Macaca fascicularis: one gene and its partner. The protein of the gene in region 2 purifies or fractionates together with the protein of the main gene of each other region. This does not show direct contact. Links are inferred from orthologs where the notes say so. Each region holds a gene or a part of one and is shown on either strand. Other genes may lie near its edges.

Region 1 (3,817 bases), on a different chromosome or scaffold from region 2:
TGCTCTGAGCTCAACCTGGGCCTGGCTGTGTGGGGCCTGCTCACTGCTGCATGCTGGACCCAGGACGGTGCTGGGCCCAGGACAGGCGGCTGCAGAGCGAGTGGGCAAATGAAGAGCAAGGGGTCGCTGAGGGGCAAACCACTCCCCGGGCGCAGGGCCGGCTGCTGGTGACAGCGGAGGAAGCCCGCGGCTGCCCGAACCCCAGCCCCAGCAGGACCCACGCAGCCAGCCCCAGAGGCCTCAAGGGGTGAGCGCATGCTAGACCGTGGTTGATGTGTGTGCCCACACGTATGCCCGGGTCTGTATGCCCATGTGCCCATGACTGACACCGGTGTGTGTCCACGTGGTATCGTGTATGCTGTGATATCCGTGTGATGCCCATGTGTGCCGTGTGATATCCGTGTGTGCCGTGACATCTGCATGTCCCCGTGTGGCCCGTGTGTGCTGTGACATCCACATGTGATGTCTGTGTGGAGTTCACGTGTGTGTGACGTCCGTGTGATGTCTGCGCAGGCCTGAGACCCATGTGTGTGCTGTGTGAGGCTGTGGGTGCTATGACGTCTGTGTTGTCTGTGTGTACCTGTGTAAGGCCCACGTGTGTGTTGTGATGTCCATGTGTGATGTCTGAGGCCCACACGTGTGCTGTGGCATGTGGGACATCAGTGCAGGCCTGTGTGAGGCCCACATGTGTGCTGTGACATCCGTGTATGATGTCTGTGTGTGCAGTGATGTCTGCGTGAGGCCCATGTGTGCTGTGGTGTTCTATGTGATATCTGTACAGGCCGTGTGTGCTATGACGTCCATGCAGGCCGGTGTGAGACCCACGTGTGTATTGTGATATCTGTGTGAGGCTATGTGCTGTGACATCCGTGTATTATGTGTGTGCCTTTGAGGTCCATGTGTGTGCTGTGACGTCCATGTGTCATGTCTGTGTGTGTCCATGCGGTCATGTGTACTGTGGCATCTGTGAGGCCACGTGTGCTGTGGCACATGTGCCATCCGTGCAGGCCTGTATGTGTGCTGTGACGTCCGTGTGTGATGTCAGCGTGTGCCGTGCTGTCTGTGTGAGGCTCACACGTGTGCTGTGGTGTTGTGATATCTGTGAAGGCCAGTGTGAGACCCATGTGTGTGCTGTGATGTCTGTGTGAGGCTATGTGTGCTGTGACATCCGCGTGTGCTGTGACATCCGCGTGTGCTGTGACATCCGCGTGTGCTGTGACATCCGTGTGTGCCCGTGTAAGGCCCACATGTGTGCTGTGACGTCCGCGTACGTAGGGCACACAGCCTGGGATTCCTGGGCCCTGGCGCCTGGGCTGCACTCAGTCCTGTCCTGGGTTGGGACCGACACCCGCAGCCCCACCCCGCCCTGGGCCTCTCCTTCTGGGCACGGCTGAAGAGCAGCAGCGCCAGGCACAGGGAGGGTCACAGGCATGCAGCTGTGGCTGACGCACCGAGTCCGATGATGCCCAAGGTCTCCCCACGGATCCTGGCGGCGCCGGACGCCACCTCGCGGATCTGCTCGACGCTCTGGACTCGCGTGCCCTCCCGCAATGCCTGGTGCAGCCAGGTGGCCCGCCGGTACAGGTTCAGGATGTGGCACAGCGTCGAGTCGGCCGTCTCCTCCACAGACGCCGCAGGCACGTTGCAGACGGCGATGCCTGTGGGGACAAGGACACGGCGGTCACCTCCAGGCCAGGCCCAGCCTCTGGGAGGACACCAGGGCTACTGTGGCTGGAGCAGGTTTGAAGCTTCCCGAGGAAGAAGCCAAAGGCCACGTCCCCAAGGCCACCCTGGGAGGCCACGAAATGAACGCACATCTCCCAGGCTCGGGGGCAACAGAGCACCTGGCCTGGCGCCTGTGCCCTGTGACTGGAGCCCCACCTCCACTTTAGGTTCACGTGGCAGCACACGCTAGCAAACTGCTCGGTGTGTGGTGGGGCCGGGGCGTGAGACGCTGCCCTGACCCCTCCCAACTCAGCATTGGGAGCCCATGTAGAGACAAGCACATGTCTCCCCGCGTCACCTCGCTGCCCTGATTCCTCCAGGGGGACCCTGCGGGGAGGCTGCGGCCAGGTCAGAATCTGGGTGCTGGCCCCACCTGCACACCCCTACATGGACATCCACACATGTCCTCAGGCCTCCCCCAGGCCAAGCCAGGCCCCCGCAGCCCCTTCCGCCCTCCATGCCCTACACCCCGCAGTCAATAACACTGCAGCTGGAGCCATTCCTAGAAAGCAAATCCATCCCATTTCTCTCGAGTGTAACCCCTACTGCCCGCTCCCAGCCTTGTCCCAGAGGCAGGCCCTTCCCCGGCCAGGGCCCCTCCCTGAGCCTATTTATCCTCATCCCTGGCCTGTCCCTGGCCAGCGCCTCCCCTGCACGGCACTTCCCGCCCCATTCAGATGATTGCACTCCTGCGTCTGACTGGCCGTCCAACTGGCCGTCCGTCTCTCTGGGGAGGAGGAAGGGGCAGGAGGCCAGGACAGGGCTGCATTCATATGCCCGGAGGCTGGACAGGACCGTGTGGTTCCGTGAGGGGTTCCGAGGGTCGGGAGGGGGCCTGACGTGGGGCAGCGCGGGCAGGCGCTGCACAAGGCCAAGGCTGGGATCCCACATCGCCCCAGACACAACTCACTTGGACGTAAAAACGTTAAACAAGGGAGACTGAGGGAGAGCCAAGCCAAGCACCACACGAGATTGGAAGAAAGGCCTCCTGACTGTGGGACGTTGGAGCGTGGGCCAGATCCCAGCGGTGCCCCAGACTGTCCCTGGCTGAAGAACAGAGCCCGGGCCTGGGAAACTCCATGGGCAACGGAGATGGTAAACAGCAGAGGTCGCTCAGAAAGCACCAGGCCTGCACCTGACACCTCACAGCCAGGACTGCACCCAACACCGCACAGCCGGGCCTGCGCCTGACACCACAGCCGGCCTTTCCCAGGATGCCGCCACAGAGACAAAGGCGGGAGGCGGCTGGCACACGGCTTTGGCCCATGGGCACCGGCGGAAGCAGCAGTGAGCCGAGATCGCGCCACTGCACTCCAGCCTGGGCAACAGAGCGAGACTCCGTCTCAAAAAAAAAAACCAACAAAAACAACCCACAACAGACGGAGCCTGGCAGAAAACAAAGTGCGCTCCACGCAGGACGGCCAAGCACCGCCCTGAGTTTGTTCTAATGAGTGCGCACGGGTGCAGACACGTGGGCACGTTCCGTGTGCGTGTGTAGGTGCATGGGTACGGATGTGCGTGTTCTGTGAGTGTTCCATGTGCTGAGTACATGAGCATAGGTGCAGACACGTCTGCGTGTTCTGTGTGCTGTGTGCGTGTTCCGTGTGCTAAGTGCACGTGCACGGGTGCGGACGTGCGTGTCCTCTGAGTGTTCCATGTGCTGAGGGTACATGAACGGGTGCAGATGCATGTGCATGTTCTGTGTGCTGAGTGTGCACATTCCGAGTACTTAGTGCACGTGCATGGGTGCAGATGTGTGTGTTCTGCGTGCTGACCGCACGTGCACGGGTGCAGATGTGTGTGCATGCTCTGTGTGTTGAGTGTACATGTTCTGTGTGCTGAGTGCACGTGCATTGTGCTGAGTGCACGTGCACAGGTGCAGATGTGCGTGTTGTGTGTGTGTGTTCCACGTGCTGAGTGCATGTGTACTGGGTTGCGACACACCCCGCTGTTCCCCCTGTGTCTTGGGACAGAGACCTATGAGCCCTATTACAGCCACACTCTGACGCCCCTGCCCCTCACCCCCAGGGCCCCGATACCCAAGCAACGGGCACCAGCTAGACATGCATGCAGACCTGTGTGAAGTCGCAGC
Region 2 (4,037 bases):
ACTTCTTAATGCCCCCTGTGGATACAGATCTGTCACACCAAAGGTGTACCAAGGCCAAGGTATCTATACAAGAGTCCTTGTGCCTGAAGCAGCTTTGGCTAGCTCCAGCTGTGGTCTTACTGGTTCGTAGAGTAACTGCATGCACATGCATACCAGAGGCTGTGCTAAGCCTAAGGGATGTCATGGTGAGCAAAATTCAATCCCAGCTGAGAATTCAAAACCCTCAGAGGCGAACTATCACAATATAGTTTAGTAAGCAGTTGGTCCTTGTTGAAAGGATACAGGGAGATAACCCACGGACAAACTGGGCCCATTTGGTGCAGTTTCCAAACTCTTTAGGGTGAGCTGGGCCAGGAACTCTGTGAGGACCTTGTAAGGCCAGGATCCATGTGCTTAGGGTCCATTTTTGGAAAAACCTGGTCACTGAAGCATCTCTACTTTCAGGGTCAGCCTGGTCTTTCAAATAGGCTGAGGCCTATTTCCCCATGTTTCAAGGACATTTAACTATGTTTTTGTAAAAATAAAATGGCGAGACCCAAATAAAAACCTTACTTTTTGTTTAATTTGTTTTGCCAAACAAACACAGTGAAAACTTTAGTCTGACTAATTGTACAGAAAATAGAATTTGTAACCAGTAGCAAACAAAACAGGATAAACCTAAATCCCTGGCAAGCTGGATCTCCATCAGCAGGTCATCCAGATCCCCTTGTAAATGGTCTCCTGGGAAAATAAATCCTAGGAGGCAGAGGCACAGATTTACCAGTCCCCATCAGAATCACAGGCTGCACCTGGGAAGGAAAAGCATGAAAAGGAGAGCTGATGTTACTTGCATCTCTTATCACTACACACATTAGAGTTGTCTGACTGCTGACCAACCTTAAGGTATGGTTTATTCCAAACTCATAGTCCCTGGACATATCACCTGCATCCCTAGAGGGTAAGTTTCAAGTTCAGTGGTTCTGAAGCCTCTGCTTAACCAGAATCTGCAACAATAACTGGGGAAGAAGGGTAGACAAAGTCATAATTGCTGGTGTCACCAGGGCAGAGTCTAAGGCCCCAGCTTCCACTTCAGGAGGAAACAGTTGAGGATGCCAGGTCACCAGCAAGAGAGTCCAGCTGCCTTAAGCCTCAGTACTGTCAACCAGTGCCCCAGGAGTATAGAGGAGTTCAACAATGGCCTGCAGTCCCCTGGCTGGATGGGGTCTGGGAGTCCAGCAGGCCGCCGGGGCACCAGTTCACATTCCGTGCTTCTTGCGGATGACAGCCATGGCAAGCAGCCGATCCTTCTCGCGCAGTTCTTCGCGAAGCTTGGCCTCGGTGAGACGCAGATGGCGAATGCTGCCTTTCATCTCTTTCATCTTCACTTCCATCAGCGCCAGGATGTCCCGCTGCTCATTCAGCTTGCGCAGGAGCTCCTCCTCCGTGGTGCCTGACGACAAGGAGTACGAATGGTCGGAGCCAGTATCAGGGAAACCCTCTTCTCCTACCACCACCAACTGGGGGCCCATAGGGCACTCGGCAGCCTCCAGCCCTGCGGTAGCAGCCTGTAACTCCGACGCGGCGGCCGCAGCGGCTGCGCCCTCTGTGGCTGCAAACTCAACTTGCACTGTAAGATCGATGGGCTTCACGTCTTCTCCAGTGGGAGTGATGGGCGTCGGCGGCACGGATCCCGGAGCCTGACTGCTGTCTACAGCGGCCTGAAGGGTAAGAAGCACGGCCGCGGAAGCAGACACCAGGTTCGGCTGCAGCTGGGAAGTCTGGGCAGTGGAGGCAGAGGGTGACGGCTGCTGCTGTTGCTGCTGCTGCTGCTGCTGCTGCTGTTGTTGTTGCTGCTGCTGCTGCTGCTGCTGCTGCCTGCGGCGGGCGGCCGCGGCCCCAGCGGGTCTGCGCGCTACTTTGCGCTCATTGACGCCGCGCAGCGGGAAGATGGTGGGGACGCGTACCGTGTAGGTCTTGCGGCCGCCCTGGAAGTGAACGCTGCAGAGACGGTGGCCTGTGGTGGGCTGGAAGGTGGAGAAGCACCCACTGACGCCGGCACGCGACACGTTCTTGAGCCAGAGGCGCCGCAACTCAGCGTCCTTTGGAAACGTGTAGAAGTGCAGCGCCTTGTCCCGGTGCGAGTTGTTGTAGCAGCCTGGCACGCAGCACGTAAAGCCAGGCATGGCTGCGCCGCGCGGCCCGGCCCGGCCCACCGGCCTCCTGCGCCCTTCGACGGCCCAGTGGCTCCGCCGCCGCCCGCCCCTCGACGGGCGGCGCCGCGCGAGGCCTTGGGTGGTATCCCACCACTGCCGCTCGGCGCAGCCGGCCCGCCCGGCGCCCCGTGCCCAGAATACGCTTCCTGCCGGCCCGCGCCGCGCCGCCCGCCTGGCTGCCCGCCTGCGCTCGGGAGTCGGCCCCGGGGACGCCGCGAAGGACCGCCTGAGAAAGAGACTACGCCCCCCACAATGCCCCGCGCCAGGAGCCGCTCACTTCCGGGGCGGGTGTGTGCGGATTCCGGCCGCCTTCCAAGGCACGGCGCCAGCTTCCGAAGATCGGATTCTTTCTCCAGCCCGGCTTGTCCCCGGCGGGCGAGAGAGGCGTATTAGGTTGGAACGCTGTCGCCTGGACTGCTCCTTACGAGGACCCGAATCCTGATAGGGGCGTGGAGAGGGGCGGTGCGCGCCTCACCGGTGCGCAAGCGCGGTGGGTATATGCCCACGGAGACTACAAATCCCGTGATGCCTCGCCCTGAACTGGGCGCCTGCGACCCGAAGCGCCGCCTAAGGGAAAGATCGAGTTACTGCGGACCAGTATTCGGGCGAGGTTGTGCTGTTTGCCAGAACCAGTCCCCCAGCCCTGAGCGCCTTTGAGTCGACGGCATTGCTGCAGCAGAGGGAGACGAAACCTGGGCCTCAGCGCCCCGAAGGGTCTCAGGAGCCCCTTTGTCTGCGTTGGGGACTCTCTCCTGATTCAGCTGCTGCCTGCGTTGACTCCCTGACCTAAACAAAGTCTCCAGTAGACGCCTACTATGTGGCTGACCCAGTGCACGGAGTTTCCGGGAGTCAGACCGACTGGGCTCCTCTCTTGGAGCCTGACTGCCTAGACGGATGAGCCTCTGTCTTTTGGATAATAGATCTGAATGCACGCGAATGGATGTCTACTCACAGAAAGTAATCGCTCTAAAGGAATGAACAGGAGAGCAGAGAAATGGAAGCGGGGGAGGGGGTGGCCAGGAATAAAGAACGAAAGCTTGGGTAGGGAGAAGTACCCAGTTCGTGTCCCGGGAACCAGTCTGTAAGGCCACATGGCAGAAAAGAGCTAGGCTCCGCCCTTAAAGAACCTGGAAGGGGGTGGCCCAGGTAGACCAAGCGTAGGAAAATACCAAACTGGGACATGTTAAGGATTTGGGGTTTTATTCTGCAGGCCACACTGAGAGCTATTAAAGGATTTAATGCGAAAGGATTTGCATTGTAACAATACACCTCCCCCCTATCTCAACTTATTTGAGGGAAATTTTTGTGTGTGTGTGTAAAGGAGTCTCACTCTGTCGCCAGGTTGGAGTGCAGTGGTGAGATCTCGGCTCACAGCAACGTCCGCCTCCTGGGTTCAAGCAATTCTCCTGCCTCAGCCTCACGAGTAGCTGGGACGACAGGTGCACGCCGCCATGCCCGGCTAATTTTTTTTTTTTTTTTTTTTTCAGTAGAGAAGTGGTTTCACCATGTTTCCCAGGCTGGTCTCGAACTCCTGAGCTCAGGCAATCCGCCCGCCTCGGCCTCCCAAGGTGCTAGGATTACAGGCGTGAGCTAGTATCACAGCGCCTGGCCGGGGGAAAATGTTTTAAAGAACACAAAATGTTGTGGAAAGCCAGGGAGGGGCCAGGCAGTCCTTCAGGGGAATTACCTGCAAACTAGCCCTCCTCTGCCGAGTTCTTCCTTCTCCCAATTTTTTAAAAACTTATTTTTGGTTCGGGGGTACGTGTGAAGATGTATTGCATAGGGGAAGTCGTGTCACTGCGATTTGTTGTACAGATTATTTCATCACCCAGGTATTAAGCCCAG

What was found.
Region 1: the proteins of THAP11 (region 2) and CTBP1 purify together in Homo sapiens (co-immunoprecipitation; 4 studies listed by BioGRID and IntAct, with this or other methods). This does not show direct contact. The link is inferred for Macaca fascicularis from reciprocal best matches to the Homo sapiens genes THAP11 and CTBP1.

Annotation. Positions count from the first base shown.
Region 1 is NC_088379.1:1,321,958-1,325,774, forward strand, and holds part of CTBP1 (C-terminal-binding protein 1), read right to left. Parts: intron 1,659-3,817; coding exon 1,452-1,658; intron 1-1,451. UniProt on the Homo sapiens protein: Corepressor targeting diverse transcription regulators such as GLIS2 or BCL6. Has dehydrogenase activity. Involved in controlling the equilibrium between tubular and stacked structures in the Golgi complex.
Region 2 is NC_088394.1:63,893,146-63,897,182, reverse strand, and holds THAP11 (THAP domain-containing protein 11), read right to left. Parts: upstream 2,398-4,037; 5' UTR 2,163-2,397; coding exon 1,236-2,162; 3' UTR 877-1,235; intron 789-876; 3' UTR 541-788; downstream 1-540. UniProt on the Homo sapiens protein: Transcription factor, which has both transcriptional activation and repression activities. Also modulates chromatin accessibility.